Lonchura striata: one gene and its partners. The protein of the gene in region 2 purifies or fractionates together with the protein of the main gene of each other region. This does not show direct contact. Links are inferred from orthologs where the notes say so. Each region holds a gene or a part of one and is shown on either strand. Other genes may lie near its edges. The genes, in order: BCAS2, PRPF19, RPA2 and SNRPA.

Region 1 (7,549 bases), on a different chromosome or scaffold from region 2:
TGACCCAGAGATGGGGCAACTGAGAGGTGTTTTAAAAACTTTTATTCCATTCTCAGTCTCATGTGAAGGGTGAGATAATGCAGTGTTATAATTCACACCCTCACAATCAGAAATTAACTATTTCCTAATTACAATACATTATAAATGTTTCTTGGCCTATCAGCTTTTGGAGAGTGTCCCTGTTGAGTCAGGAACGGGTAATAAGTGACACAGACTCTAGGTCAGAAGGCTAATAACCACTTTATTAAAAACCCATTCCTTTTTATACTCTGTTTCTCTACAGGTGGACCTGATTGGTCCTTTAATTAAAACACATCACCATTGGCTAATTAAGAACCCACCCTTTTGGTAAACATCTTATGAGGAAAACAACTCATTACAAAACACCACCTATGGATTGTTTTAATTCTTTCTCTCCAGCTCCCTCAGACCAATTCATGGGAAAGCTTATCTAGTGTTGGAACCCTGGATGCTGAGAATTTTAAATTTTCTGTGCTGAAAGGCACAGACCTGCAAGAGAGCACTGCATTGACCTGAGGCTGTGGGGAAGGCTTCCAAAATTAATTAGCAGCACTGGGATTATGGGTGTGGAGTTTGTTGGAAGTGTGGAATGTCACAGGGTGGAAAACTTAGAGTTTGGGGTTTTAGAATATAGAAATAAATATGAATCAAGATGGAGGTTTTAGAGCTGAGGCAGGTTGTTTTTCACCTTCTTCTTCCTTCTTCTCCATGGGTTTGGGTGGTGGTTTGTAATTGGACAGAGTAGTCCACAGTGCAGGCTTCAAGGGATCAGTTATTGGGTTAAAAAAGAAAATAATTTAGCTGTCATTTCTTAATTGGATAGTTTAGCCTCAAAAGACCTTGTAACGAGAGATAGTTGGCCATTTTGTGCCTGGTTAATGAAAGACTGCAGAACTCACTGCTGTGAGACTGGAACATTGATAGGAAATTATAAACACCTGAGTCTGAACATGAAATACCATCTGAAGTGCCTTCAATCCTGACCCAAATAGAGGTAGAAAAAGGAAGCAGAAAACCTACAATCTAGCTTTCTCTCTCTCTGACCAGATTGTCACCTTGTCTTGGTTTGGAAAGACAGGTGTTTGCTCAGAAAGGCAGGAGCACCCCCTGAAATGAAAAAAAAAAAAAACAAAAACATGTAAACCCCCTCTCTCTGAATTGTTATCAATTTGAAATTAAAGGGGCTCTCAGGCAAAGATATGGGAGCAGGAATAACAGTTCTTTTATTAAGGAAGAAAATAAAAAGACAAAATAAACAATGCAGTGAACCAAAACAACACTGGCAGAGTCAGAACACAACCTGACACCCTGTTGGTCAGGGTGTTGGCTGCAGTCCAATTGGGAATTATGGCTGCAGTCCTCCTGGAGTGGCAGGTGTGGTTCTGTTGGAGCAGTGTTCCTGTATGAAAGGGTGTAGTTCCACAGAAGGGTGTAGTTCCTGTAGAAAAAGATGTAGTTCCTGAAGAAAAGGGTGCAGTTCCTGTAGAAAAAGGTTTAGTTTTCCTCTGAAGAGGCAGCTGTTTCTCTGGGTAATCCAGTGCAGGAAAAGCCATAATGGTGTTCCAGAAACTCAAGATTATATCCAGGTAGAAATGCTCCCTCCGGGTGGAGCATCTCATAATGGGATGCTGTAACTTTTATCAGTCGTGGTGTGACATTCAGTAGCTCGTTATCAGCAGATGACTCCCCTGAGAAAGGACTGGTTGTGGAAGAGATAAAGAAAACTGCCCAATTAACAGAAGACAACTGCCTCACCTCTAACAGACAACAACTGAATGCATCTTGCCTCGCAATCTATGACACACATCCTCAGGAGAGGAATGACCAAAGTGACAAATGTCCTCCCCACAGGTGCCACGACCCTGAACTCCCTGGTCTCGGAGGCTTTTGTGCAGTTCTTCGTGGAGATCGTGGGGCACTACTCCCTGCACATGAACGTGACGGAGCAGGGCCAGCGCGTGTTCCAGCGCGAGCCCTTCCGCAAGTCGCACGGCTCGCGCACCGTGCGCCACTTCCTGCACTGCTTCATGGAGACGCAGATGTTCGCCGGCTTCATCCAGGACCGCGAGCTCAGCAAGAGCCTGGCCAAAGGTGATGCCCTGGGAAAGAGCTGGGCAGTGACGCTGTCGAGGCAGGATGGGAATGAATAGACTGATGGAGAAGGCTGTGAGAGTAAAACTCTGGTTTATTCAGAATGCACCGCTCTTTATACAGACAATTCCATTGGTCCCGAAGTGAGAACAACCACACCATTGGTGCAGAGTGCTTGACGAACAGTGATAGAACTTAACTATAAACAATGTGAACAATAAGGAGATAAACCTCTTATTTACATTATTTTCCAGCAGATTCCCAGCCTTCTGCCTGGTTAGAAACTTTCTGTTTCTCTCTTTGAATCTGAGACCCACAAGACAGAGCTAAAGAATAAAGTAGGGATTTATTAAAAGGATCTCCTCAATGGATCCACCTTGGCAGCACAAGAGCCCAGCCAGGGCTGCACCCAAGATGAACCAAAATGGTCATAAAAAATGGACAACTGGTCACGAGGTCTCTCAATTTTATAAGTTCTGCTCAATTTGCATATTGGAGCTAATTGTCCAATTACAGCTCCAGCCCATGAAGTCCCATCCTTCTTGTTTTTCTCTCTTCATCCCACGTTGTTTGTGCTTTTGGGCCTGAGATTTGGATCATTTGTCCTTGGTCCCCAGATAGTGAATTGTTTTGTCTCCCTGCTCTGTGCAGAGAGCTCACCATCCCCTAATATGGACCCCAGACCCACACACTAAAGCAGCACAGAATCTGAAAAATATAAAAGCCAAAACCTGAGGCATCAGTGGCATTGCCCTCTTGTTTCTTGTTTTGGCATCACTTTCTTGTTTCAAGTCTGCTCCACAGACTCCTCTCGAAGTACAATGCCACCTGCCTCTGCTGCTGGAATTCTGTCACATGGAATAGCCCCATGCCCTTCTAAATTACTCAAAAGAATTCAGTTTATAAAGCAAAGAATTTCTGCATCTCTGTCCTTTCTCCTTGATCCTGCAGCTTACACACACTGTATGCAGGATTTCCTTTTGTGGCCTTGTTAATCATGATGCCACGTGCTAAATGGTGGAATAACTGATTTGGTGAGTGATTTTTAATTTTTTCTTCTCTTTAGGCCTTTTTGAGGTCCGTGCCTTGGAGTATTTGGAGAGTATTCCAGAGACAGAACGAACTGGAATGAACAAAATCCTTCGCAGCCTTGGTAAAGGAACACCCCTTGCTTTTGCTCATTGCTTATTTTTTAAATTAATTGTAGCTATTGAATAATTCACTTGTTACAAAAGAGAGAAAGGCTTCTCCTTCTGTATCTGGGTTCCCTTGTTTACATTTACTCCTTCAGGGGACACTGAACACTGTGTAAGATTTTTCTTTTCTTTTTAAAATATTGTATCTTTAGATGAAATTTGTGGAAGTTGCTGCTCTGCATGCTTGTTCCTTAACTTTGGTCCTGGCTGGGGACATGCCCAGGGGACAGAAGTTTTGTCTGCTGGCAGAGGTGGTCATGTGTGGCTTTCCACCTTAAGTTCCTCTGCCTGATGAGTCCTGGAGTGTCTCCATTTCACAGAATCCCACAATGATTTGGGTGGGACCAGTCCTGCCATGGCTGGAACACCTTGCACTGTCCCAGGGTGCTCCAAGCCCTGTCCAGCCTGGCCTTGGACACTTCCAGGGATCCACCAGCAGCCACGGCTGCTCTGGGCACCTGTGCCCGAGCCTCACCACCCTCGCCTAAAGCTCCTAATGCTGTTTTTTCTCTGCAGGCAGTAAAATGAAATTCCTCCAGAAAAAGTGACCGGGCGCTGCTGCGGGACAGCGGCGGGAGGGGGAACGCGGACCCCGCCGGGGCCGGACCGAGCTGTGCCCCGGGAGGGCCGGGCCGGGGGCTCCGGGTGTGCGGCGGGTACATGGATCGATAACGAGTTCCATGGACCGATAACCAGCTCATGGACCAATAACCAGTTCATGGACCGATAACCACTTCCATGGATTGATAGCTGCTCTCCTGGATTGATAACCAGTTCCATGGACCGATAACCAGTTCCTGGACCGATAGCAGCTCATGGATCAACAACCGGTTCCACGGATCAATAACCAGTTCCACGGACCGATAACCAGTTCCGTGGATCAATAACAGCTCATCGATCCAACCGTTCACGTGTCTCCGTTCCTTAAGGGGGCGTGGCCTGGCGGGGAGGGCGTGGCCAGGGCTGGAGTCGCTCCGGGAGCGGCGGGACCGGGCAGGGAGGGGCGGGGCCACGTCGGGATCGCTCCGGGAGGGGCGGGGCAAGGCCTGGAATCGCTCCGGGAGCGGCGGGGCCGGAGCTGGAGTCAAACCGGGAGCGGCGGGGCCGCGAAGGGGCGGGGCTTGGCCTCGGAGGGGCGGGGCTTGTTCTCGGGGGGCGGGGCTTGGCCTCGGGGGGCGGGGTTTGTTCTCGGGGGGCGGGGCTTGTGCCCGAGCAGCGCACCGCCCCGCCGGGCGTGACGTGTTTGCGCACGCGCAGTGCGCGCGGCCGCGGCCAAGATGTCGGGCCCGGGGCTGGTGGCCGGGGATGTCGTGGTGGATGCGCTGCCCTACTTCGATCAGGGCTATGAGGCGCCGGGCGTGCGGGAGGCGGTGCGTGCGGGGCCGCGGCGGCGGCGGGGAGGGGCCGGGGCGGCGGGCGGGCTGTCCGCCTGCCTGACGCCCCGTGTGCGATAGGCCGCGGCGCTGGTGGAGGAGGAGACGCGGCGGTACCGCCCGACCAAGAACTACCTGAGCTACCTGCCCGCGCACGACTACAGCGCCTTCGAGGTGAGCTGAGGCGGCCTGGCAGCTCCCAGAGCCCGGCCCGGTGCCCCCATACCCCGCCTGGCCCCACTCCGTGACCTGGCTGGGACAGACCCTGCCTGTCCCCGTCCTTGCCCCGTACCCCTCTCGTGTGCCCGTACCCCTCCTGTGTCTCTCCGCCCCTGCCCCGGCTGTCCCTCCGCCGTTATCCGTTTGTGTCCTGTCTCCATCGTGCCCGCTTGTCTCATGCACTGTTCCGCCCCTGTCCCTCACTGCTGCCTTCCCCGCAGACCGAGATCATGCGGAACGAGTTCGAGCGCCTGGCGGCCCGGCAGCCCCTGGAGCTGCTCAGTATGAAGAGGTGAGTGGGGCCGGCAGGGCAGTGCCTGTCCCGGGTGAGCCGTGCCCGGTGTCCCGGGTGAGCCGTGTTCAATACTTCGGATGAGCTGAGTCTAGTGTCCCAAGTGAGCCATGCCCGATGTTCTGGATGAGCTGTGCTTCATTTGAGCTGTGCCCGGTGTCTCGGGTGAACCGTGCTCAGTGCCCTGAGTGAGCCGTGCCCCAGTTGAGCTGTGCCCCAGTTGAGCCGTGTCCCATTTGATCCATGCCCGGTGCCCCAGGTGAGCTGTGCTCCATGTGAGCCATGCCCCATGTGAGCTGTGCCCTGGGTAATCCATGCCTGGTGCCCCAGGCGAGCCGTGTCCCAGGTGAGCCGTGCCCAGTGCCCCGGGTGAGCCATGCCTGGTGTCCCAGGTGAACTGTGCTCCATGTGAGCCGTGTCCTGGATAATCCGTGCCCGGTGCCCCAGGTGAGCCGTGTCCCAGGTGAGCTGTGCCCGGTGCCCCAGGTGAGCCGTGTCCCAGGTGAGCCGTGTCCCAGGTGAGCCATGCCCGGTGCCCCAGGTGAGCCATGGCCCAGGTAATCCATGCCCGGTGTCCCAGGTGAGCCGTGCCCGGTGCCCCGTTCCCTTTGCAGGTACGAGCTGCCCGCCCCCTCCTCTGGGCAGAAGAACGACATCACGGCGTGGCAGGAGTGTGTGAACAACTCCATGGCACAGCTGGAGCACCAGGCCGTGCGCATCGAGAACCTGGAGCTCATGTCCCAGCACGGCTGCAATGCCTGGAAGGTGTACAACGAGTAAGGCCTCAGCTGCTCTGCTGAGCACCAAGTTCTGTGTTGATTTCTGTTTGTTTATTGGGTGTAAATCCGGTGGGGATCTCTAAAATGTAGCCTGGAATAGATGAAATCCTGTGAGAGAGCTGTGAGTGAAAGAGGAGGCTGATCTCAAAGCTGTCTCTGTGGCCAAGAAACAGAATGTGTTTAATACATCCCACTCTTGAATGTTGTGGGTTATTGTTGATGCTGGTGGGTGTTAATTAAGGCTAGTGATAGCCTGTGAAGAAATAACTCACTAGTGGAAATGGAGATGAGTTACTACAGATCCTGGGCTTAGCCTGGAGCCATAATAAAGCTGCTGCAAAAGCTAAGAAGAGGTTGTAGAGTATGGCTGCAGGAAGTACTGGGGTTAATTCAGAGAGAGAATGTTAATGTCCACTTTTGAGAAGGGTTGGCTGAGCCTTAGATAGAAGAGTAGGTCAAAGGAATGCCAAACGTAGCTCAGGGAGAAGGCAGAGGGTTCCTGAGCTCAGGAGAAGGGAAGCAGGTAAAGGATCTGCTGGCTGGAACAAGGTGCTGCAGGGGCTTGTTGAATCCTGAACTCTGAGAAGTTAAATGTCAGATGAAATGGGGCTGAAATTTTAGCAGTTGTGTGTTTTTAATGCTTTGCTTGCATTCTGTCATCAGGCACCTGGTTCATATGATAGAACAAGCCCAGAAAGAGCTTCAGAAATTGAGGTGGGTCATTCTTATTTATATTTTTGTACTGAAATTGGAAGTGAACCTTTCTCTCCCCCCAAGCTGTACAAAGGAAGATGTGTATGCTGGCTGCTGCCATGGTCACAGGGAAAAAGACCCAGTAAAAACAATGATGAAGAAATGTGACCCTTCCCTCCCCAGTCCCATTCATCATGTCTGTTCTACTCAAAATTCTGTGTTTGATTTGTTTAAATCTCTGCTCTGGATTTGTGGAACCCTCCCTGAAATGTAGCAATGCTTTAATTTCACTACTGATAATTTAGTGTGCAATTGTCTCTGTAAGGACATCTTCCCTGATGTTGGGTTTGGCCTTTTACTTTTATTTATCTCAGGGCTCTTTGTGAGCCCTGTACTGAGATTTGTCCATCTGGATGTTGTCATTACAGTCCTGGCTACACAAATATTTTCTGGCAGTACTTCTAGGGATTGAGTGTACTTGGAAATTAGCAACAGGTACTGCAGATGCCAAAGAAATGAGGAAATAAAAATGCATCCTTTTCTCCCCAGGAAAAACATTCAAGACCTGAACTGGCAGAGGAAGAACATGCAGCTCACAGCTGGGGCTAAGCTGAGAGAGATGGAATCCACGTGAGTGTTGATATTTCTCGGTTAACCCTTCCACAGCTTTCTCCATTGCTTGAAATTTACTTGAAATTCTTCTTCCACTTGAAATTCAGTGATCCTTTGGTGCTGCTGTAGGATACTGTTGCTTTGCAGGAAGTGTTTTAAGGTATTTGTAGTTTGGTTCCATATTATATTTACTGAAATTGAGTGAATCAACAGGTAGGAAAAGAGTGTATTTATTAGCTGCTTCAAATTTCCTAAATTGTCTTAAACTGTTCT
Region 2 (7,393 bases):
GACTGATCCCCAAGCCAAGCTCAGACAACCCCAAACCCCTGTTCCCGCACATTCCCATTCAGCCCTTACCTTCAGATCCCAGATCTTGATTTGGGAATCCATCGTTCCCGTCCCAAAAATGAGCCCGTCCGGGTGGAACTGGGCACAGGTGAGAGCTGCGGAGACAGCAGGAGAATCAGATGCTTAGGAAGACTCAGAGAGCTGGGAAGACTCCCAATAGTGTTGGGAAGATTTGGAAGGCTCAGGAGGGTTGGGAAGATACAGGGAGTTGGGAATATTTTGTGAGCTAGTAACACTCAAGAAGGTTGATGAGATTGGAAGGGTTGGGAAGACTCAGGAAGGTTGGGAAGGCTACCATGCCCACCCCCAAAGGAGCTCTCATGAACTCCAGGAGCCAAGGGATGCCTGGAATGGGGATAATCAATTCCAAAGCTTACCACATCCAGAGCTCTCATCTGTCACCTTGGTGAGGACACGGCCTGTCTGGATATCCGAGAAAGCCCAGTACTGGGAGAGAGGAAGAGCGTTGGATACAGGAGGGGCGGGAAGCAAAGGTGGGATGTGTGGGATGGGGAGGGATTCACCTGGTCATCCGAGGAGCTGAGCAGGTAATCACCCGTGGCGTGGAGGCTGAGCCCGGTCACGGAGCCCTCGTGGGCACGGACCACCTGGACACAGGAGGCGTTGGGAACGGACCAGATCCGGATCGTGGCGTCGGGAGAAGCCGAGAACACCAAGTCCTACACAAGGAGAACACCAGAAGGTTCACACGGGAAGAATTCACCTCTGCGAGAGCTCCCAGCAGGAGATTCCACCAGAGGAGGGTCCTGATACCCAGATCTGAGGAATCCTGGAAGTGAGGAAAGAGCCAGACGCACCTGGGATGGGTGGAAGACGACGCTGGTGACTTTCTTGGTGTGGCCCTTGAGCGTGGCCAGGATCTGCTCCGAGCTCTTGTCGAACACGATGACGTTTTTGTCGGCTCCACCTGGAAAACCGAGCGGGAAGCGCTGGGATGGGAGTGCAGGGCCAAGCAACTCCAAATCCACCTGCCTTATGTCCCTTGTGCCCCTTCAAACTCCCAAAAACACAGAGAAGGAGACCCACTCTCAAGTGGGAAACCCCCAGGAAAGCTCCCTTACCAGTGAGGATCTTGTTGGTGTCGGAAGGACACAGATCCAAGGCAAGAATTCCTGGGATGCTGGCACTGTGCAGCCCCTATGTGAGAGAGGAGAACTCCAAATTAATGCCACGAGCAGCAAAACATCCCACGAGGAATCAAAAAGGGATTCCCAGCTCCACGTAGGAGTTTCCCAGTCCTTTCCCATCCCGGCACTCACCACGTGTGAGGCCACCTGCCGGTACTTGCTGAGCTCCTCCGGCTTCACCAGCTCCTCCGGGACCGTCTTGCCCCTCTGGAAAATACAGGGATAAACATCAGCCTTGGCTGGAGCACGGCACATCCCAGCTCCCTCCAAATCCTTGGGTAAGTCCACTCACCTTCTTACGCTCCGTGGTCAGCACCGTGGCCTTGTCTTGGAGCTGGAAAACAAGAGGAGGGTGGGCACAGACCGGGAATTCTGCGATGGGAAGGTGGAGAGGGCAACACGCGGAAGGCTGTCCCTACCTTCTGGATGATCTCCGGCGTCATTCCCGCCAGCTCTCCCAGATCCATGGCCTCGCCAGCGCCCTGTGTGGCACAGAGGGAAGAGACGTGCAGAGAGGGAATGCGGGAGCAGTGAGTGGGAAAAGGGTTGGGAATGAAAGGGAAAAGGACCAGGATGGGGAGCAGGAACTCACGGCCACGTTGGGCTGCGCTGACGGCACCGCCTGGGGCACGATGAGCCCGGCCTGAGGCTTCAGTGTGGCCAGAGCTGCAAAAACACAACAGCTTTAAAGGAAAACCGGGATACAGCACTTCCCAGCACCCCTTCCCAGGAACGCCACGCGTCTGTGTCACCTTCTCTGGCGGCAGTGACCTCCTTGGTGAGGCGGGCGATGACCCTGCAGGCAGCATCGTGCTGGTACAGGGCGTGGGACAGCTCCTGGCGCGTGGTCTGCAGCTGCTGGCGCAGCGTGAAGCTGTGCAGCATCACGGCGTCCTGCCGGGGAGCACCCGAGTCAGCCAGGGAGCGGCGGGACCCCGGCCCCGGCAGCCCCCCCGGCACTCACCCACTCGTCCTGCAGGGCTTTCAGGATGGCCGGGATGCTGGTGGCCGAGGGGGGCTTGGGCCGGATCGGGTGGGCGACTGGAAGAAAGATGGACACGTCACCCGCGTCCCCGATATCCCTACGGATCACCGCGTTCCCATCCCTCACCTTTCCCGTTCCACCATCCCTCCTTTACCCTCTCCTTCCCAGCCTCCACAGCCGAGTTTGGCATCTCAGCCCCAGCTCAGCAAACCCCAAAGCGCCTCGGGCGCCGCCATTCCCGCCCCCGGGAGAGCCGCTCTTCCCGGGAGAGCTTTTCCCACTCCCGTTCCCAATCCCGGCACCTTTGATGTCGATGAGCTGTTCCTCGGACAGCGGCTGGTTGTTGACGGGGTCGGTGCCGTTCTCCGCGATGTACTTCTCGATCAGCCGCCGCTCGTACACGTGGTTGGACACCGGCGACACACACGGGTGCTCCGGGACCTCGTTGGAAACTGAGGGCGAAAGGGAACGGCGGGATGGGACGGGAACGGGGGCTTGGGAACTCCCAGCCCGGTGATCCCCCGGTGACCCCGGCTGGGATCCCCCATTCGGTAACTCTCGCCCCGCCGCACTCACTGGAGCAGATGAGCGCCATGGCGGAGGCCGGGCGGTCGCGGCGCTCCGGTTACGGCCCCGCTGCCCTTCCGAGGCTGTTTCCGGTTCTCCTTTCCGGTCCGGGGTCCCGGTTCCGGTTCCGGTTGGCGCGCGCGGCCCCCGCGCCGCTCCCGAGCGCTCACGCGGGCGCCGCCGCCGGAACCGGAAGCGCTCCAGGCATCCCCCGCGCTCCCCCCTTCCCCGCCGGCGGGAACGGCGCTTCCCGGCGTGCACCGCGCGCCGCCGCCCGCCTGCGGCTGTTGCCATGGTGACGGCGTTCCCGGCACGCCCCGCGGCGGCCCCGGGGACTACAGCTCCCGGCGTGCCCCGCGGCCGAGCCGAGGGAAGCCCCGGTGAGGGGGGGTCGGGGGGGACCCCGGGGTGGGGGCTGGAATTCGGGGAAAATCGGGGGAAATTCGGGGAAAGTGGGGGGGAAATGGAGGGGAAATGGGCGGGGGGGGGCTCCAGGAGGGGATAGGCGGGATGAGGGAGCCGCGGTGGGGGTTCCTGGGGGGATCCCGGGGGAATCCTGAGAGGTGGGGGGGGACAGTGGGAGGTGGGTACAGAGGGGCCTGGGGGGATCCTGGGGGGATCAGAGGGATCCCAGAGACCGCGGAGATGTGGGTGGGGTGCGCACAGAGGGATTTGGGGAGCCAGTGGGCGCTGGGGAGATCCAGGGAGGATTGGGGGGATTTTGGGGATCGCGAAGGGTGGAGGGCCCTGAGGGGGGGCGGGCACAGGGGCGATCGGGGGTTCCAGGGGAATGGGGGAACTGGGCGGGGCTGGGCACACTGGGACTGGGGGGATCCCGGGGGGATTGGGGAGAAGTGGGGAGCACGGGGGGGTCTCAGGAGTGGCAATGGTGGCGGTGTCCCATCCCGGAGCACCCCGCTCCCTCCTTTGGGAAGGACTGCCCCCCCTTCCCAGCCAGGCCCGGCGCCCTTGGCTGTGTCCCGCTGACTTGTCAATCCCAAAAATAGCCGGGACAGCCAGGCCTGTGCTGGGGGGGGGCATGGAACTGGGCTCTGGGGCCTCCAGCCTCCCCTCCTGCCTGGGGAACCCCAAAACCAGCAAGTGGACTCCAAAACCAGCAGGGTTTTCCCCTCCCAGCACCCCCACATCTCTCTTTCCCCACAGATCCCGGGTTCCAGGATGGGGAGTGCCGTGGGGCACCGGGCCCTGCTGGCCCTGCTGCTGTGGATCCCATTCCTCATGGGATCAGTGGGGGATGGAGCCAAGGATGGCCAGGAGGGATTCCGGGGACACGTCACCACCTCCGATGACCTGCTGCTCCGGCTGGGAAGATCCACTTGGGACACCCTGGAGAGCTGGGTGGGACGCCAGCCCCTGCAGATGGTGGCGGAGGTGGGATCCTGATTCCCAACCCTTCCCTGGAGTTCCTCGTGCAGGGACATGGGGGGGGTCTACATTTTCTTTTCCTGCTTCCTTATCCCACCATCTTTCCCCACAGAGCCTCTCCACCGCCCTCTGGATCCTTTCCTCTGGGATCTCAGCAGCCCTGACCACACTCTGTGGGATCCTGGGGGATCTCCTGGCCACTTCCAGCATCAATGGTGAGTGGGACTCACCCCGTGGGATGGCTCTGGCCCCCATTCCTGGTGCCACCGCCATAGCTGACTCCCAGCTCCCATTCCCAGGCCACCGGCTGGTCCGAGCGGCAGCGCTATCTCCCGGAGAAGTCCAGAGGGTGCTGCTGTGGGCAATGGTCGCTCTGGTGGGATCCTGGATGCTAGCCCGGCTTCGAGGGCTGCTGCTCCCACTGCTCCGGGGGCTGAAGCTTTTCTTTTTCCTCGGCGCCTTCCTGCATGTGGCCGCTTCCCAGGAGAGCCCCACGGTGCAGGCGGGAATGCTGGTGGGCCTGTGGGTGCTCTACACCTTCCTGGGCAGCCTGGTGGCAGCCCCGGATCCCAGCACCCGGCTGGATGCGGCCGTCAAGAGCCTGGAGTGGAAGGTGGAGGAGCTGCGGCGGCGCCAGAAGTTCGGGGGGCCCCGGAACCGGGAGGATTGAGGCCCCCTAAAGCTTGCTCAGAGCTTGGCTCCGTCATCCTAAGCATCCCAAGCGTGTGTCCCCCCGCTCCACTGAGCCCCCCGCACCCCCTCCTCTGCTTTCCGGTTCTCCCAGGGTCCTGGGAGCGCCCCATCCATCTGGGAGGGGCCCAAAAATCAGGGGCTGTGCCTTGCCACATGTGCCACAAGTGCCTTCACCCCAAAAGCCAGCCAGCCACGCACCCCAAATGTGGGAGAGGAGCTCCCACATTCCCTGCTCGCCAGGGATGTTGTCCCAGCCGGCTTGGGGTGCAGAGGGGATCCCATTCCCCATCCCGGGGGTTCTGCTTGTTTTGGGGTCCCCCCACTGTCAGGTTTTGGGTTTTCAAGCTGCTTTTTAAACGGTTTTGATAATGTGGTTTGGAATAAAGAGGGATTTATCCGGCCTGGCCCCGCTGCTTTCCCATGGGAAGGGGGTCAGGCCTCAGAGCTGGCCCCCCAGTCCATTTGGGGTGGGAAGGGAGGAGGAGGAAGAGCAAGAGGAGGAGGAGGAAGAGGAGGGTGGTTTGTCCATGCCAGGATCCCACTGCCCTCCAGCTGCTCCTGCTGTGCTTCCCGCTGGCTCTGTGCCCCTTGCCATGGATGTCCTTATCCTTCCCATGTCCCCGGTATCCCTGGTGGAAGAGGGGAAGATGGATGGCAGCTGAGGGAAGAATTCCCAACCCTCCTGCTCTGCTCCATGGGTCTCCCTGTGGCTTGGGGTGTCCGGTGCTGGGTGGGGCTGGGAATGGGATGAGGAGCAGGGATTGGCATGGGGATGAGGAAGAGGAGCAGAGATGGGGATAGGGAGTGGGATGAGGGTCAGAATGGGGAGCAGGGATGGGAATGGGGAGCAGGAGGGGGAGCAGGGATGGGAATAGGGCGTAGGATGGGATGTGGTTCGGGCTGTGGAGCAGGAGCCAGAGCCCCGGGCACGGCCGGGCTTTAGGACCCGGCGGGACAAGGCGGCGCCGGTGCCGGTCCCGCCCCGGCCCCATTGTCTCGGCGCGGGGGCGGAGGGACGGGAGGCACCGGCGGAGCGACAGGAGGCACCGGCGGCACCGGTACCGCCGGCACCGGCGGAGGGACCGAGCCCTCCGGCCATGGCCTCGGCGCCCCGGCTGGCGCTGCTGGCCGCCGCCCTGCTCTGCGCCCCGGGTAAGTGGGAACGGCACCGAGAACGGCATCGGGAACGGCAGCTGGCATCGGGAACGGCACCGGGCACCGACCCCGACCCGCTCCGCACCCCTCCCGCCGTCCTGCCGGGATTCGCTCCCGCGTGGTTCCGCAGCCCGGGTCGATTCTCTCCTTTCCCCACGTTCGAGGTCCCTCCGTTCCGCCAGGATCCCGGGAGCCGGGGCAACCTCACCCCCTCCTTCTCCGCGTTCCCCGGGATCCACGTCCCCCATTCTGCGGGGATCCGTGCCCCCTCCCCCGCCTGGGATCCCGAGGGGGTCACCCAGGCAACGTGGGATCCGCTGGGATCTCGAGGGGGGATTCTCCTCCCAGTCCCCACGGGAACCCGCCGCCCGAGGGACTCCCCCCCGCATCCCGGGATCTGCCTGGCTTCTCCCCGCACACCTGATCCCCTAGGTGGGATCAAATCCCAGCCGTGAGGAAGCCCTGCATGGGCATCCAGGTGGGATCTGCTCCCTGTAATGAGGGATCCCTTTGATCTGGGCACCATGAGGACACCATGAACCTGGATCCCACCCTGCAGGACACGGTGCCAACGCTCTTCCCAGTGGGGAGTGCATTCCCACAGGGAACAGCCAGGACTGGGGGAACCGAGTGGCCCCCCCAGTCCTGATGCAGGGATGGGATAACCCTGGGATAACCATGGCAGGGGTGACCTCAGAATGAGGTGGCCCAGGCAAGGGGTGACCCTGTGTGCTGCTGCAAAGGTGGGCACAAAGACCCCCACCTGCCACTCTTGTGCATTCCCATTCCCACTGTGTCCCTGCGGGATGTGACACGTCCTTGTCCCTGCAGTGAGGGGTGACGGGGAGCCCCCGGATCCCGTGTTCCTGCCGGCGGAGCTGGAGGTCCTTGGAGTGCCCGAGTCCTACCGGCTGCAGAGGGTGGATCAGGACGTGGCACCCAACTCTTCCCTGCACACCCGCTCCGAGACATTCCTGCTGCTTCGTGCTGGATCCCAGGCCCTGGTCCAGGCCACCTATGCCCCGTTCAGCATCCGCCAGGTAACCAGGACTCCTGTGTTCCCTGGGCCACCCCAGGGTGTCCCGGCCCCCACCACCATCCCGGTGTCCTTACAGGAGGTGTCCATGGAGAGCCCCCCCGGCTCAGCAGCTTGGGCCATCCGCGCCGTGTCCCTGGAGAGCTCTGTGTCCCCTGCTGAGCCAGTGGCACGTGTCCTCTTCCATCTGCACGGGCCCGACTGGATGGCTGGGAAGCAGGATCATGCCGGGACTCTGAATGATCCCAAGGACTGGGACCATCCCGGCGTCTGGGATCACCCTGAAGTCCGAGACCACCCTGGGGTCCAGGATCACCCCAGGAACCAGGATCACACTGGGGATCGTGACCACCCCAGGGACCA
Region 3 (8,008 bases), on a different chromosome or scaffold from region 2:
AACAGAGCAACTGTAGAGAGCTTCATCCACTACAAAGGAGGACATAACCACCCATCCTCCACCTCTTGGCAAACAGATGCTGTCCCTACAATTCATCCTCAATTTAGATCCACTCCAAATGCATCATTTTAGCAAGTAGAGGGACACAATTTTTCAGATGGTTTAAAGGTTTTGAAGGGGGTCTGACAAGTTTGTTATTACTCAAAGAGTAGTTCTGTGACCCATATTATCCGGGGAGCAAAGCAAGTGTCAAATTAAACTTACTAAGACATGAAGAACACCACAAAAACTGTCTGACCCTGCCTAGGGAAACTCATCCCAGCAGGATGCACTGGCTGCCAGGGCCATGCTTTGACTCACTGATACTCTGACTAAATCTTTGTGCCAGACACGAGGCTGAAATATCCTCTCCCACACAGCCACTCAGCTTCTGTGGACTGAGAAATCCTGAAAGGCCTCTTCTGACTACAGGGGGAATTAAAGTTGTTTCAGAGCTGCAGTGTGGTGCACACAGGATTCCCTACCAAGACCTGCAGGGTGTCCTGATCATAGCTGACCACCCGAATCGCAGGGTTGTTGGCTCCATTGCTCACTCCAGGTAATGTTGTTTTCCAGGGAGTCACTCCAGGGGCCAGGAACATGACATTGATTGGAGTACCTTCACAGAAATGCAAAGCCAACTGTGACTGGAGACCACGGCTTGTCCCACACCCTGTCCCCATCACAGTGAGCCCCTGGAGCAGATTGCACTGCCAACAGCACCTTTGTCACCAGCTCCCAGTACCACCACACACACAGAGATTAACACGTGGAACCATGCTGGGGACTGAGCACAGGGAATGGGCTCTCCAATGCTGGCAAAGCCTCTTGCAGTGAGGGTGGCCAGGGAACCACACTCGACAAAGATGTTCGCCCAGAGCACCCCACACACACACAGAGATTCAGCATTGCTCCCTCAGCAATGCCCAAACCCCTCAAGAGGGAGCAGGCAAGAAGCTGCCAAGCATTAAGGCAAAATAATATTTGAGGGTGAATAGGAAGGAGGGCAGGAGCTACAGACTGGGGGTAGAGATGAGAACCACTGTTGCCTCTTGTTGCCCAAAGCATGTCAGATGCTTTTGCTGGCTTCTTAGCCGCTTTTAGCCAACAGCCACTAAAAGCCCTGATGGACAGTGATTGTGAGAGCTGTCACACAGGTGCTCGGGTGACCAGAACAGGTACCTGTGGGGCTGTAGAACATGCGAAAGCTGTCGGTGTGATGGTGCCCAAAGAACTGGGCAGCAATCACATTGTGGTGCTTCTGCACAATGCCCAGGTACCGCTCGTTAAAGCCCCTCCTGAACCAGGGCTTGCCCCGTTTCTTCTCGAAGAAGCCAGGGGGGACATGTCCCACAATGTAGACCTACAGAAGCAAGAGCTGCCCTGAGCACAAAGCCCACACCACCCATGGAGCACCAGCCAGCTGCAGCTGCACCCAGAGGGAGCAGAGCAGGAAGAGCTTCCAGGCTGGGGAGAAGCTTTATTTTTTCAGTCTTTTTAATACCATTTCATCTGCTCTAGAGGCGTTGGTCAGTGTTTCTTCCAGCCACTGGAACTGCCCCCCAGGATCCTCCTCACCAGCTGTCTCATCATTCTGGTCATAGTACAGGTTGGTGTTGAGGACAACCATCCGTCCCCTCATCCCTGGGCCAGGCAGCTTCTCACTGTAGAAAGCTCCTTAAAAATGAAACCAACAGAGGAAGAGCTGTAGATCAGCTCACATGGGTGGCTGTGAGCCCAGATCCCATTGTTTCCACCTCTCTCTGTTCTTCTTAGCAACAGCCACAGCAGGGTCACTGCTTGGGACGGTGCCCTGACCACTCCAGGATGTGGATTTGGAGTGAGTCTTTCCTGTGTGTCTCCCCAAGTGAAGGGAGACCTGAATGGGTACAATGGACAGCACCAGGAGCTGGGCAGCTCTGGAGAGCCCCAGCACTGCCTGCACCAGCTGCCACCTTTAAAGATATTTTTCCTCCCTTTGCAGGTCACCACTGCATTCTTTCCAGTAACTTGATAATGGCAGAAGAGACTAAAGTATAAAATAATTTCTCTTCTTGCAAGCAGAGTTCCAAGACAGAAATCAGCATTAAATTGGAGCCTACCTCTGCAAATTTTCTATGAATACTGCTGCTCTGAGCATAGAAACAAGGAAAATCGTTCATGGTATTCTCCTACCCCTCCTCATATCCCCAGCATGCTCTAAACACAAGCCAGTGGTGCCAGACCTGCTCTGAAGAGAGGAAGAGAGGCATCACTCAGCCAGGACTGCCACAGCTCTGCTGTTTGTTTGTAGATCCTGTGCTCCTTCCCAGGAAACTGATTCTTGGGGTGGAAGTCATGATTGCCCATCGCTGCGTAGACCTTGGTACCTGGAGACAGAGCCAAGGAGGGGCAGGAGGTCAGTGGTGCAGAGCTCCTCCAAGCTCCCCGAGGCACTCCCAGCCTTGGGAACAGAGCTTTGCCAAGGCAGCCATCCTCTGCCCCGGGCTGACACTGCCCAGGGCACCACATGGCTCGGACCCGCCCCTGGGACAAGCCACCCAGAGCCAAGTGACTGAGCTGTCACCAGCAGTAATGCTCCTTGCCCCCTGCTGACACAGGTTATGTCTGAGAGTTTCCTGCAGCCTTTTTTGCCTTCATTACTAACAACAGAAACCCTTCCTTTCCCCTCTCCTGAGTAAGCTAACCTGAAACATGAGTGTGCATCAATGCTGTATGGCACAGCAGAATTGAGGCCACCAAACAAGTCCCACTGACCACAGCCCTTTCCCTGTCTCACTTCTGTCATTTCTCCATCCTGGTTAACCTTTCCCATGAGCTTCTATGCTCCTCTTCCCTTCTCATCTCCTCAAATCCTACCTGGAAATGTCTCTTTTATCAGAGAAGTCAGATTTGCTATTATGTGCAGAACCTTTTCTTCTCCGAGCTCCTCATTGGGGACATGGGGAGTGTCATCTCTAGAAAAAGAGAAGCAGCACAGTCACTGTCTGGGACTAACAGGGTCTGTGCTTACAGCAATGAGCAGGGCACAGAACTTGCCAACTCCTCTCTGTGCCTCCTAGAAGAGAAAGTTTAAGCTTTTAGGTGCAGAAGTCAGTGCTATATTGACTGGCCAAGACAATGAGGGAGTTTCAAGAAATTGCTCACAGGGAAAATGAGCTCCACTCTAAACTTGCCAGAGTCAAGGAGTGCTCAGACAACACTCTCAGGGATGCACAGGGTGGGATTGCTGGGGTGTCTGTGCAGGGCCAGAAGTTGGAATCCATGATTCCTGTGGGTCCCTTCCAGCTCAGGCTGTTCTGTGATTCCAGGATTCGCTTTACCTTAAAACTCCTGTGCAGAAGGGCGTGAAGGGGAGGCTCCCTTCTCCTAGGCAGCACTAAAGCTGACTGGAAACACTGCAAGGGTCAGCACTTTGCAATCTGAGGGCATTTGATCTGCAATAATGAGGCAGAGCTGTTTGCACAGCTGTGATCACCATGAAACAAGGAAATGCCTCTAGTAATGCAGCAATCTAGGGCTGCTCCATGTCTGTGTCTGTACAGCATTTGTAGATGATGCTGGACTGTCCACAAGCCCACTGGAGAGAAAGAACATTCAAAATCATGTCAGAGGGCTGGGGAAAATTGCTTGAGGGAAAAAGAATACTCAACATAAGGTCACAAGAACCAATAACTACATCTAAGTAAGAACAGGCATCTTCAGGGACAGAAAATGAAAACATGAGATAGGTGACAGCCCTGCAAACTGGAACTGGAGATTACAGCAAGTTGAGACTGCACTATCAGAAGAAGGCTATCTACACAGTCACTATGCAAAACAAAACTTTTACCATCTGCAAATGCTATTGGGGCCTCCCAGAGGACAGGGGACCCACCCCTGGAACCCATACTAGGAGAGAAACATCCTCCACTGGGGAGGTTCCTCTGACTCCTGAAGCAGAACTGTCCCTTCAGGTCTCCCAGCCGCCTCGCAACCAGAAGAAACGCTACAAGCTGGTTTACAGTACTCTCCTCCCGCAGCTGCTTCCCCTGGGCATTCCAGGTGCTACGACTCACTGTGGGATCGGACAGGATGCACAAAGGACGGACAGCGTTTTGTCACCTCACTGCCACGAGCGTCTCGCCAGCGTCGAGCGCCCTCGCTGGGGTTGTGCTTTCCTCCAAGCCCTTGTTTCGCATTACAAGGCACGCTCTCCCTTTCAAAGCGGGGACCGCGTAAAGAGCCCCGACACACCACGGGCTCCGTGCGGGCTCCGCCGCCCCTGTCCCGCCCAGCCCCGGGGTCCCTCAGGCGGGCCCGGCCCCTCTCACCCGGTCCAGACCACGAAGTCCGGCGCGGCCAGGCGGCGCCGCATGGCGCGGGCGGCCGAGCGGAGCAGCCTCCAGGGCGCATCGCACAGGTAGCTGCCCCACGGCCCGGCGGGCCCGGCCCGACCGCCGCCCGAGGGGCACGGCCGTCCCGCTGCCGCCGCCGCCTCGTACCCGGGGTCCCAGTGCAGGTCCGTGAGGTGCCAGAACCTCCCGGAGCCGCCGACCGCACCGGGCAGAGCCACGGCCAGTAGGTACGGCAAGGGCAGCAACAGGAGCTCGCGCGTGGGCTGCATGGCAGAGACCGCCGCGGGCACCGGGGTCGGCCGGCACCACAATCCCGCCCTCACCAAAATCCCGCCTTCACCGGGACCCGGCCGGCACCACAATCCCGCCCTCACCGGGACCCGGCCGGCAGTACAATCCCGCCCTCACAGGGCCCCGGCCGGCACCACAATCCCGCCCTCACAGGGCCCCGCCCCCTCATCCGTGCCAGGCCGGGCAGCGCCCGTTCTCAAAATGGCGGCGGCGGCGGCGGCTTCCCCGCGCTCTCCTCCTATTGGACAGAGCCGGAAGGCGGAGGGATGCGATTGGCTGCCGGCCGGCAGAGCGGCGCTCCCGGATTGGGGGGCAGGCGGCGGCGCGCGGGGCCCGGCGCGCGGGCGGGCGGCGGCGGCGGTCCGGAGCGCAGCCATGTGGAGCGGGCACGGTGCGGGGCCGGGCACGGTGCGGGGCCGGGCGGGGCGCGGGGCCGGGCGACCCTCCAGGGGACACCCCCTCCGAGGGCCCCGCTTCCCGTGATGGCGGCAGCGCTGGGAAAGGGGACCGTGTCCCCGCCGCCGCGTCACGTTCCCTCTTTCTCCCCCCGTAGGGAACTTCGATGGCGGCTACGGCAGCATGGGCGGCGCGGGGCTCCCGGGCGGCTACACGCAGTCCCCGGGCGGGTTCGGGTCGCCCGCCGGAGGCCAGGCGGAGAAGAAGCAGGTAGGCCGGGCGGGGCCGGCGGGACGGGGCCCGGGGCCGGGACCGGCTCTGACGGCCCCTCCGCCGCTCGCAGCGGAGCCGCTCGCAGAACATCGTGCCCTGCACCGTGTCGCAGCTGCTGGCGGCCGAGCAGGTCGACGAGACCTTCCGGATCTGCGACGTGGAGATCTCGCAGGTGGGTGCCGGGGCGGTGGCGGCCGCCAGCAGCCGTGGCCGGCCGAGTGACCGACCCTTCCCTCCCCCGCCGCAGGTCACTCGTGGCCGGCCCGAGTGACCGACCCTTCCTTCCCCCGCCGCAGGTCACCGTGGTGGGCATCGTCCGGCACGCGGAGAAGGCGCCCACCAACATCCTCTACAAAGTGGACGACATGACGGCAGCCCCGATGGACGTCCGGCAGTGGGTTGATACTGATGTAAGCTTTGGATTTGCTAGGAACAGGCTTCTTGAGCAGCTCTGGGGAGCAGTGGGTGGACAAAAGCTGTAGAATTATACAGTATCTCGGATCATTGATGAACACCAACTCCCTACTTCTCACAGAGCTTTTTGAACCCAAAAGGTGTGGCTTTTCTGGAAAGTATTTTAGGGATAACGTGTCCCTGAAATCAAAGGGAGGTCCTGCTGCAGCAGAGATCACTGGCGGTGTATATGACTGTGCCTGTTTAGTATAGCTGAGTTCACTTGAACAGTTTTGGGAGGGTAACCAGGCAGATGTTCAGTCTTACTGCAAGTTTAGCATGACATAGGAATGCACGTTGTTTGTGCTTGCTTGAGATGAGCCTTCCTTGCTAAGTTGCTTCTTGTGACTGTTGAGAAATGGAAACAGGAAACAGCAAACCTGTTTTTCCCTGTCTGTTAGGAGGCAGGAGGTGAGAATGTTGTGGTACCTCCAGGAACTTACGTTAAAGTGGCTGGTCACCTTCGGTCCTTCCAGGTAAGAGTGTATGTGTACCTGTGTGTGAATCTTGTAGCACTCCATGTGGCACAAATATTCAAATAACGGTGTATGTGCATTTAGGGAAGGTGCAGATAATTCCCAGCTGCTTAGAAAGAGGAGTCACTGTCTCCATTGTCTTTCAAAATCACATCTCTCCCCCACTGCTTTCTTGCTTACTCCCAGTAGGATGGGGGGAATCAGAAGGGTCAAAGTAAAAAAACCCATGAGTTCAGATAAAAGCAGTTTAATAAGTAAAACAAGGAATTCATTCCATGCTTCCCATGGGCAGGCAGGTGTGCATCTTCCTCCTTCTTTCACCAGTTTTTTAACTGAGCATGACACTGGCTGGTCTCTCCCGTGGGGCAGTGGAGGTACCAGCTGTTTCCCTCACAGCTCCTTGTCCCCTCCCAGCCTAATACTGGTAGAGTTGTGTGAGAAGCAGGAAAGCCCTTGGCTCTTTGCAAGGGTTGGTGAGTAATGACTAAAACATCCCTGTGTCACCAACAATGTTTCCAGCACAAGTCCAACACCAGCCCATGTTACTAGCCCAAACCAGCACAAGAGGTGTGTCAGAACATTTTGGATGACCTACATACAGAGAAGGTCTTTCCCCACTGCTGTCCCACCCTCCTGGAGGAAATGGCTGGGTTGGCTGTTAGGCATTGTCATGTTGCTGTGCTGTAAATTGTTTTCTTTGTTTTGTGTTTGTTTTTTTCCTCTGAAAGAATAAGAAGAGCTTGGTAGCATTTAAGATCATGCCTCTGGAAAATATGAATGAGTTCACCACACACATACTGGAAATTGTCAATGCACATATGATCCTCAGAAAAAATCTTATGGTACGTACAAAGACCCTGATTTTATTGTGGCCCTTCCTGGGTGACTGGTGATCTCCCAAAGAGGGACCTTTCACTGGGAAAATTCCTTCATTTTGGGGCTGGAAAGCTTAAAGCTGAGCAACGCTGAAGGTGTAACAGGAGTCCTGGCTTCCTTGGAGAGAGATTGCAATCCACTTCCATAAGAAGCTATTTTTACTTACTGGCTTAGAAATAACAGTGAGTCTTTAACACTGCAGGCTTGGGCAGCCTGGGTAACCACAGCACTTTTGTTCTCCTAATTCCAGTCAGCATCAAGAGGGCCACAGTCATTTTCCTCCACTGGGATAAGTGACATGGGGGGCTACGGAGGAGGTGGCAGCCTGCCAGTGAACGGGCTCACGGCGCACCAGAGCCAGGTGGGTGCCAGCAGCTCTTCTGGGAGCACAGCAGTGGCAGCAGAGGCTGCTCCAGTGTGATCTAGTGTGGTTCTTGCTCATCCAGGTGCTGAACTTGATCAAAAGCTGCCATGTCCCAGAGGGAATGAGTCTACAGGACTTGAAGTTCCAGCTCCACAGTATGAGTATGTCAACAATCAAGTAAGTGTGTAGAAATGAAGGATGCTATGGAAATCCAGGCAGTCCTTCCAGAGGCAGAGAACAGTGGACAAGTCCAGACACTCACCTGTGAGTCAGGGTGGGTAATTCAGGTGGTCCCAGCAGCACAGGAGCCAGAGCTGTTGAAAGATTCACTGCCCTGAATGAGCTGTTGCCAGTTGCTTTGCTCCTTGTTTTCAAAACAAGCCTTTTATCAGTTCAGTGGCAACGTACTGCAGTGCCTCAGTAGCATTTCTCCTGTTCAAAGACTACCTTGTTCTCTGCACACTGATAAAAATCTAGGAATAGTCTCTCCTATTCTACTTCAC
Region 4 (7,859 bases), on a different chromosome or scaffold from region 2:
TTTGAAGAGAGTTCTAAGGGATATGGAGGAGTTCCAAGAGGGACTTTGGCATTTTCCAAGGGATTTGGGGAAGTTCAAAGAGGGATTTTGTGATTTTCAAGGAACTTTGCGAAGTCCTAGGAAGAATTTTGCATATTTCAGAGGGATAGGGGGAGAATTTAGAGGGGATTCTGGGGAGTTCCAAGAGGGATTTTGGGGCTTTCCAAGGAATTTTCAAGGGTTCTGAGGGATTTGGGAAAGGTTCCAGAAAGGCTTTGGGGATTTTCTGATGGTGTTTGGGGGAGCTCCAAGAGGAATTTGGAGGCATTTCAGGAAGTCCTAGCAAGGATCTAGGAATTTCTAAGAGATTTTGAGGGAATTCAAAGAAATTTAGGGGGGATTTGGGAGTTTCTGAGGGATTTGAGGGAATTCAAGAGAGATTTTGGAGTAGCTCCAAGAGGGATTTGGGGGTTTCCAATGGATTTTTAGGGCTTCCAGGTTGAATTTGAGATTTCACCAGAGGTTCGTCATAGAAGGGAAAGCTTTGGGAATTCCTGGCTGGATTTTAGGGCTTTTCCTGGAATTCTGGGGTTTTTCCTGGGATTTTCTTCTTTGGGGCAGCTCGTGGTTTGATTTTGGTGCATTTCTGGTTGGATTTGGTTTGGTTTTGGGTTTTTTTGGTTTGTTTGTTTGGTTGGTTGGTTTTGTTTGTCTGTTTTTTGTGGGATTTTGGGGATATCTGAGGCTGGATTTTTTTTTTTTTTTTTTTCCACAGAAATTCAGGTTTTTTCCACAAAGTTTGAGGATTTTTCCCATAATTTGAGTATTTTTCACCAGAATTTCTCTCTCATCATAAACTTGTCATGAAACAAGAAGTTCCAGGGGTGTTCCTGGTTGGATTTTGGGGATATCTGAAGCTGAATTTTGGTGTTTTTTTCCCCCAAGAATTCAGGATTTTCCACAAAATGTCAGGATTTTCCCTTGAATTTGGGTCTCACCATGGGCTTCTCATAGAAGAGGAAGCTTTGGGGTGTTCAGGGTGAATTTGGACAATTACAGGTTGGATTCTGGGGATATTTGAGGCCAGATTTTTGCCTTTTTTCCCCAGAATTTCAGAGTTTTTTTCCAGAATTCCAGTTTTTCCTCAAAATGTCAGATTTTTTTCCCCAGGTTTCTGCCCCACTGTAGGCTTGTTATAGACAGGAAGCTTTGATTCTTAGTTTGATTTGAGAGTGTTCCCAGGGGATTTTCTGTAAATTTCCAGTTGGATTTGGGGTTTTTTTTCCAAGGAATTCAGTTTTTTTCCAGAATTCCAGGATTTTTTCCCATATTCCCTGTGTTTTCCCCTAGGATTTCTGTTTCACCATGGATGTGTCATAGACGGGGAAGCTTTGGGGTGGTCAGGGTGAATTTGGAGAGATTACAAATTGGATTTTGGGGATATTTGAGGCCAGATTATGGTGGTTTTTCCAGTCTTTTCCCAAAATTTCAGAATTTTTCCCCAATCTCTGTCTCACCATAGGTTTGTCGTAGAAGGGGAAGCCCTGCATGGAGCGCAGGGCATTGGTGGCGCTGCTCATCTCCTTGAAGATGACGAAGGCCTGGCCCCTCATGCGGAGACTGCGCGACACCAAAATGTCCAAAATCTGCCCAAACTGGGAAAAAATGGCGTAGAGGGACTTCTTCAGCTCTGGGGACAGAGAGAGAGTATAGTGACAATGGGGACAGCATGGTGACAGCAGGGACACCCAGAGGACAGCCTGAGCCCCTGGGGACACCCAGGGACACTCTCAGACCCCCCAGCCCCCCCCCACCGTCCTTCTTGATCTTCTCGTTCAGGTTGTTGATGTAGATGGTGTGGTTGGGCCGGGGATCCTGCACCGCCATGGCTGGGACCTCTCTGTGGGGACAGGGGGGCTTCAGGGGGCGTCTGGGGGCTGCGACCCCTTCACCCCCTGGGACCTCCCTTTTGGTACCCCAAACACCCAAATCCACCCCAGACCCACCTATACCTCCACCTAATCACCCTCAGACCCCCTCCCAAATTGACCCAGACCCACCTGGGACTCCACAAAACCTCCTCAGAGCCACCTAAGACCCCCGCCAAATTGCCCCTAGACCCACCTCAGAACCCCCCATATCCCCCAATTCCCCTCAGACACCCCTAAAACCATCTCAGAACCCTCCAGACCCTCTCAAGCTCCTCCCCAAGCCCCCTCAGACTCCCTCATTCCCCCCAAAGTGACCTCAGATCCCCCTATTTCCTCTCAAAATCCCCCATTTCTCCTCAGACACATCTCAGACCTCCCCAACCAACTTCAGATCCCCCCATTTCCCCCCCGACCCACCTCAGAGCCCCCTTCGCCCTCATTTCCCCCCAAATCCACTTCAGACCCCGCAAAAACTACTCAAACCACTCCAATTCCCCCCAAATCCGCCCCAGACCCACGTCGGACCACTCAATTCCGCTCATATCCACTTCAGAAGCCCCCATTTCCACTCAAATCCCTCTCAGACTCCGCAAAAACCCCTCAAACCCGCTCAATGCTCTCCGAAACTGCCTCGGACTCAATTCCTCTCATACCCACCTCAAACGCCGTCAGTTCCGCTCAAACCCCCCTCAAATCTCCCCAATTCCCTTCCCGTTCGCCCTAGATCCACCTCACACCCCACAAAAGTCCCTCAAACCACCGCAATTCCTCCCAAACCCATTCCCGACACAGCTCAGACACCCCCATTTTTCCTCCAGTTTCCCGCCGGACCAACCTGAGATCCCCCTAATTATCCCCTCAGACCGCGCAAAAAACCCTCAAAGCCGCCCAATATCCCCCAAATGCGTCCCGCACGTACCTCAGAACCCTCACTTCCCCTCAGACCCGCCTCAGCCCCTTCCCATTTCCCTCTAAAGCCACCTCCGACCCCTCCATTCCTCACAGGCCCCCAACTGGCCTCCCTCCTCAGCCGCTCTCCCCGCACGATCTACCGCCGCCGCGTGCGCGGGCCCCCCTCCAGCCAATAGCGGCGTGACCTGCCCCGAACTAACCAATCACCGTGCGGGTTCCCTCAGTTACGCCCGCCTCCCCCGCGCCGCTGCAGCCAATCAGAGGCGAGACGGAAATGGCGTCCCCTGACCCCAGGGCCGGGCATGAGCCCGGTGGCCCCGGGCGCCCCGGGCTCGGGCGGGTCCTGCGGGAGGCGCTGGGAGAGGCCGGAGCTGCGGGAGCTGCGGAGGGGCCGGGACAGGTGGGGGAATGGGGGATGAGGGTCCTAAGAGGGGACCGTGGGGGAGGGGTCTTGGGAAGCGTCTGGGGAGTCTCAGGGGACATCCTGGGCTGGGCCCGATTGGGATCTGGGAGTTCTCAAGGGGGTGCTGGGGGGATCTGGAGCTCCTGGCGGGGTTTTGGGGGTCCAGGGTGATCCTGGGCCAACCTTGAGGGGGGCTCGGGGGGGGTTGGGGTTCCTGGGGAAGATTTGGGGTCCCGGGGAGTCCCAGGCCCAGGCTGAACCGGGGTCTGGGGGTTTCAGGGGGAGGGGGCACAACAGGGGTTCCCCCCGCCCCGTTTTTGGGGGTCTCCCATCATGCTGTCTCCCCAAAAAGTGGTTCCTGAAGCATCCCCCTGAAGTGGCTCCTGTTCCACCAGCCGGTGCCCCCTCATCCAGGACGGCCCCCAGTGAGTCTGGGGGAATTTTGGGGAGAAGTTTGAGAGGGATTTTGGGGAGGCTTTTTTTTGGCTTTTAGGGATTTTGTTGAGAGTTTAGGGGGAATTATTAGGTTTTTGAAGAGAGTTATTGGCTTTTGGGGTGTTACAAGATTTTGGGGGGTTTTGGATTTTGGGGGATTTTATTGGAGTTTTGGCGGGTTTTTGGGGGGGTTTACTGAAATTTTTTGAGTTTTTTTAAATTTTGGTGGGTTTCACTGGGATTCTTTGGAATTTTGGAGGGTTTTATTGGGATTTTTAGGGAATTTTGGGGGTTTTTTAGTGGAATTTTGGGGGGCTTTGGGGTTGTCCCTGGGTGTGGGAAAGGGCTGACAAGCACCAAAATCTCCTTAAAACCCCCAAAAGTCCCAATAAAACCCACAAAATCCCAATTAAATCTCACAAAATCCCATTAGAATACCTTAGAATTTCAAAAAAAGCCCACAAAAATCTATTGAAGTCCCAAAAACCCCTCAATAATTAAACCACACAAATCCGCCCAAAAATGTCTCCAAAACCACAAAAAGTCCCACAAAATCCCCCCATGACCCAAAGAAATTCTGGTACAGGACACCCAAAAACCCCAAAAAAAACCTCCCCAAAATCCCAAGCCCTCAAAGAATCCCACTAAATGCCCCCCAGATTCCAACCAAATTACTCCAAAACCCCTAAAACTCCAAATAAAACTACCAGAAATTCCAGGGAATTGAACAAAATTGCCAAAATTTTTCAAAAAGCCAAAAAATTTCAAGAAACCCTCAAACACCTCCAGAAAAACAACCGTCCCAAAGCACCAATAAAACCCCCCAAAATCTACAAAATCCCCCAAAATTCTGCAACTCCCCCAAAACCCTATCATTTTCGTCAAAAAATGCAATGATTCCCCCTAAACTCCCACCAAATTTCCCCAAAGCCCAGAAAAGCCCAAAGTCCCCAAAGCCCTGATCCCTTCCAGTCTCAGCCCAGTCCCATCCAGGGGCACGGCCAAATGCAGAGGTCCCTGAGCAATCCCGGAGCCGATCCCAGAGCGTGCCCAGTTCCAATCCTGGTGCCAGTCCCAGAGGGATCTCGGAGCTGATACCAGTGTCATCCTCAGTCTTGGCCCATTTGGGAGATTTTAGGCCAATCTGGGCAGATTTAGGGTGGGTTTCAGATCCCTTGCAGTGATTCCAAGCCTTTTAGCTTGGATTTTAGGCCCCTTTGGCTGATTTTAGGCTGAATCTGGTGAGTTTTATGGGGGATTTTAGATCCCTTTGGCTGATTTTAGGCCCATATGGGTGAATCTTAATCCTGTTTGGTTGGTTTTACGTCCCTTGTTTTGGTGATTTTGGGCCCATTTGGGTAGATTTCTGGCTTCTTTGGTTAATTTTAGATCGAACCAAGCATTTTAGGGTGACTTTAGGTCCTCTTGTATTGGTTTCAGGCATGTTTGGATGATTTTAGTAAAAACTAGGTGGATTTTAGGGTGGATTTAGGCACATTTGGGTCATTTTAGGCAGAACCAGGTACTTGCAGTTGAAAAACACCAATCACTTGTTTTTTTGAATCTTATAAAAAATAGTAATAAGATTGGAGTAATAAAAATTTGGACTAGAGTAATTAGTGTAATAAAAATAGGATTAGGACACTATGAGACAATAAAAAGCAAAGAATTGCGGACATCTGCATGCTCTCGGACACTAGGTCACGAAAAGCATGCCTTGCGAACAAAGGAATAACCTTAAAAGCAATAGCCTGTTGCATATTCATATATCTCATACATGATACATAAATTCCTTGCAAATTAAGAATTTTTCTGGTTTTTGTCAACTTCTTCCCCTTAATCCTGGTGGTTCCATAGGGATGGAGCGGAGGTGGAAGAATGTCTTTTCTGATAAGGAAGCCGTAACTCTTTAGGTTTTGTGAGCCGTAACTCCTTAGGTTTTGAGGCCATACAAGTGTTCAGAGTGTGGGAAGGGGTTTCAGATCAGATCACATCTCCTCCTGCACCATCGGTTTCACACAGAGGAGAGGCTCTTTTGCTGTCCAGACTGTGGGAAGGGATCCATGTACAATTTCACCCTCATTAACCACCAGTGGATTCACACAGAGGAGAGGCCCTTCTGCTTCCCCGACTGTGGGAAGGGATTCAAGCACAACTCCACCCTTACCACGCACCAGTGTGCCCATACTGGGGAGAAGCCCTATCAGAGTCCACAATGTGAGAAGAGCTTCTCATAGAACTCAACTTTGACCCAGCACCAACGGAGCCATCGGTGAGGGAGGCTCTGTGAGTGCCCTGACTGAGAGAAGAGCTTTGTGTGCTGCTCCAACTCCATCCCCCATTGAAGGACCCTTGTTGGGAAGAGATCTGGTGACCCACATTCCCTTGTGATCCATATTGGGAAGGCACCTAGCTGGTTGTTCTTTTGTTTTGACCTTCATTTTCTTCTGACTCAACTCCATCAGCCAAAACAGGCCTGAAAAGAAAGAAATTGATCAATGATGTCTGAAGTCCCACCATTTCACAGTTGTTTGAGAGGGAATTTAGGATTTAGAGACATATTCTGGAGGATTTGGGGTTCTGGGAGGGTTTTGGGCAGTGTTCTTCATCTCTTTGCACTGCAGAAACCAAGAGAGATCAGTCTTCACCTCAAAACAACTCAATCCCACTGAAAACAACTGAATTCTAATCCATAAGGGCTCAATCCCCCCTCAAAATGGCTTGTTCCCACCTCAAAAAACTCAGTCCCACTCCAAACTCGATTCCACAACTGCCAGAGTGAGATGGGGTTGGAAGGAGACTGGGAGAAGTGGGATCCAAATTTGGAGCAGTGGATCTGGATTGTGTGGGGCTGAGTGGGTGGGATGTATTTGATAGTAAATAAAACTTTCAGAGTTAGTGATTTCTTTCCCATTCATTTTCAGTCTGTTGCAGTTCTGTTTGCAGAGTGCCACCTTCCCAGCTGATTATGTTTGTGTCCTCCTTTCTCTCCCACCTCTCTTTGCCTGCTCTGTTTCTCTCTCTGTTGGAATCTGAGTTATTGATGATTCTGAGATAGTAGAAAGTCTCTGTCTCTCAGCCCTGCTGCCAAAGAAGAAGCCATAATTGGTCTGTGCTGGTTTCAAGGTTGTTTATTCTGTTTATCTCTAACATGTTCTGCTGCCCTGCCCAGCTCTGTCCTGCAGGGCAGCGTGTGGGGCTCTGCCCTCAGTGGGATGTTACAAACATTAAATACCAGAAACTCCCTGGGCTGGATTTACAATAACATGCCAAAATCTGTCACCTACATTGGACAGTGTGACCCCAGCCTAAACCAACAGAAAAATGCCAACACCACAGTGAAACATGGAGGACATGGAGAAGGAGAAAAAGGACAAGGCACACCCAATTTCCTCCATCTTGTCCCCTTTGAACCCCTAATTTAGAATCCTAAAATTTTACTTTTGCACTCATGCCACACTTAATTATTACTTATATCAAACACTCAGAGCTTGTAATTCATCCTTTAAGATTGAAAACTCTTTTCCATGGACAGAGATCAGAGACAGTGTCTCTTGGGGCTCTGTACAGGGGGTTCCTGACCCCCTGCCAGGGTCCCAGGCCTTCCAGAGCAGCCGGAGGGAAGCCCTGGATTCCCACATCTCTCCGTGTCTCCCTTGAGCCAGGGCAGCTGCCACCAAAAACCCTGCCCTGATTTAATTCCCAGTGTAGGAGCTGCAACAACTATGGGGGAAGTTAGGAAGGCTTTCTGCGAAATGTCACTGTAGGATCTTGCTGCACTTGGCTTTTGGCCCCTTAAAATCTTTGCCTTCAAGGGCAGGAACATCTTTTCCTGGCTGGGAACTGGAATTCCAGACCCTTGGAGTGTGTGCCATGCGGGCCCATGCAGACTGGGATCCTACGGATTGGGATCCTACAGACTGGGAGTGCACAGACTGGGACCATATGGATCAGGACCATACAGACTGGGATTATGTGGTCTGGGACCTTGTAGACTGGGATTGTATGAACTGGGATTGTACAGTCTGGGATCATGTGGACTGGGATTATAGACTGGGATCATATGAAATGGGATGGCTGCACCAGAACAGTGCAGAATTGAGGCAGTCACAGGAATCCCTCCACTCAGGAATCCCTCCCAGTCCCGCACGGGGGCATAGCCAAAACTCTCCAGAGCAAACATGGAGATCCTGGAGTGA

The links.
Region 1: the proteins of PRPF19 (region 2) and BCAS2 purify together in Homo sapiens (co-immunoprecipitation; 10 studies listed by BioGRID and IntAct, counting the BioPlex papers as one, with this or other methods). This does not show direct contact. The link is inferred for Lonchura striata from reciprocal best matches to the Homo sapiens genes PRPF19 and BCAS2.
Region 3: the proteins of PRPF19 (region 2) and RPA2 purify together in Homo sapiens (affinity purification with western blotting; 4 studies listed by BioGRID, with this or other methods). This does not show direct contact. The link is inferred for Lonchura striata from reciprocal best matches to the Homo sapiens genes PRPF19 and RPA2.
Region 4: the proteins of PRPF19 (region 2) and SNRPA fractionate together in Homo sapiens (co-fractionation; 3 studies listed by BioGRID and IntAct, with this or other methods). This does not show direct contact. The link is inferred for Lonchura striata from reciprocal best matches to the Homo sapiens genes PRPF19 and SNRPA.

Annotation. Positions count from the first base shown.
Region 1 is NC_134632.1:1,994,782-2,002,330, forward strand, and holds the start of BCAS2 (pre-mRNA-splicing factor SPF27), read left to right. Parts: upstream 1-4,539; 5' UTR 4,540-4,585; coding exon 4,586-4,678; intron 4,679-4,762; coding exon 4,763-4,855; intron 4,856-5,121; coding exon 5,122-5,192; intron 5,193-5,806; coding exon 5,807-5,968; intron 5,969-6,634; coding exon 6,635-6,685; intron 6,686-7,213; coding exon 7,214-7,294; intron 7,295-7,549. UniProt on the Homo sapiens protein: Required for pre-mRNA splicing as component of the activated spliceosome. Component of the PRP19-CDC5L complex that forms an integral part of the spliceosome and is required for activating pre-mRNA splicing.
Region 2 is NC_134608.1:53,754,055-53,761,447, reverse strand, and holds the start of PRPF19 (pre-mRNA-processing factor 19), read right to left. Parts: upstream 3,010-7,393; 5' UTR 2,789-3,009; coding exon 2,770-2,788; intron 2,646-2,769; coding exon 2,496-2,645; intron 2,250-2,495; coding exon 2,173-2,249; intron 2,103-2,172; coding exon 1,961-2,102; intron 1,875-1,960; coding exon 1,801-1,874; intron 1,691-1,800; coding exon 1,628-1,690; intron 1,543-1,627; coding exon 1,501-1,542; intron 1,416-1,500; coding exon 1,341-1,415; intron 1,219-1,340; coding exon 1,143-1,218; intron 989-1,142; coding exon 879-988; intron 741-878; coding exon 585-740; intron 508-584; coding exon 438-507; intron 156-437; coding exon 70-155; intron 1-69. Other genes in the region: voltage-gated monoatomic cation channel TMEM109, read left to right, coding at 3,053-3,128, 3,923-4,152, 4,259-4,361, 4,446-4,816; TMEM132A (transmembrane protein 132A), read left to right, coding at 5,937-5,991, 6,826-7,034, 7,110-7,393. UniProt on the Homo sapiens protein: Ubiquitin-protein ligase which is a core component of several complexes mainly involved pre-mRNA splicing and DNA repair. Required for pre-mRNA splicing as component of the spliceosome.
Region 3 is NC_134628.1:5,394,943-5,402,950, reverse strand, and holds the start of RPA2 (replication protein A 32 kDa subunit), read left to right. Parts: upstream 1-4,998; 5' UTR 4,999-5,042; coding exon 5,043-5,058; intron 5,059-5,220; coding exon 5,221-5,333; intron 5,334-5,406; coding exon 5,407-5,508; intron 5,509-5,632; coding exon 5,633-5,746; intron 5,747-6,190; coding exon 6,191-6,265; intron 6,266-6,993; coding exon 6,994-7,107; intron 7,108-7,391; coding exon 7,392-7,502; intron 7,503-7,587; coding exon 7,588-7,682; intron 7,683-8,008. Other genes in the region: SMPDL3B (acid sphingomyelinase-like phosphodiesterase 3b), read right to left, coding at 525-658, 1,222-1,402, 1,544-1,716, 2,265-2,408, 2,899-2,996, 4,353-4,645. UniProt on the Homo sapiens protein: As part of the heterotrimeric replication protein A complex (RPA/RP-A), binds and stabilizes single-stranded DNA intermediates that form during DNA replication or upon DNA stress.
Region 4 is NC_134637.1:4,272,449-4,280,307, forward strand, and holds the start of SNRPA (U1 small nuclear ribonucleoprotein A), read right to left. Parts: upstream 3,004-7,859; 5' UTR 2,914-3,003; exon of another isoform or gene 2,830-2,913; intron 1,880-2,829; 5' UTR 1,867-1,879; coding exon 1,794-1,866; intron 1,670-1,793; coding exon 1,497-1,669; intron 1-1,496. UniProt on the Homo sapiens protein: Component of the spliceosomal U1 snRNP, which is essential for recognition of the pre-mRNA 5' splice-site and the subsequent assembly of the spliceosome. U1 snRNP is the first snRNP to interact with pre-mRNA.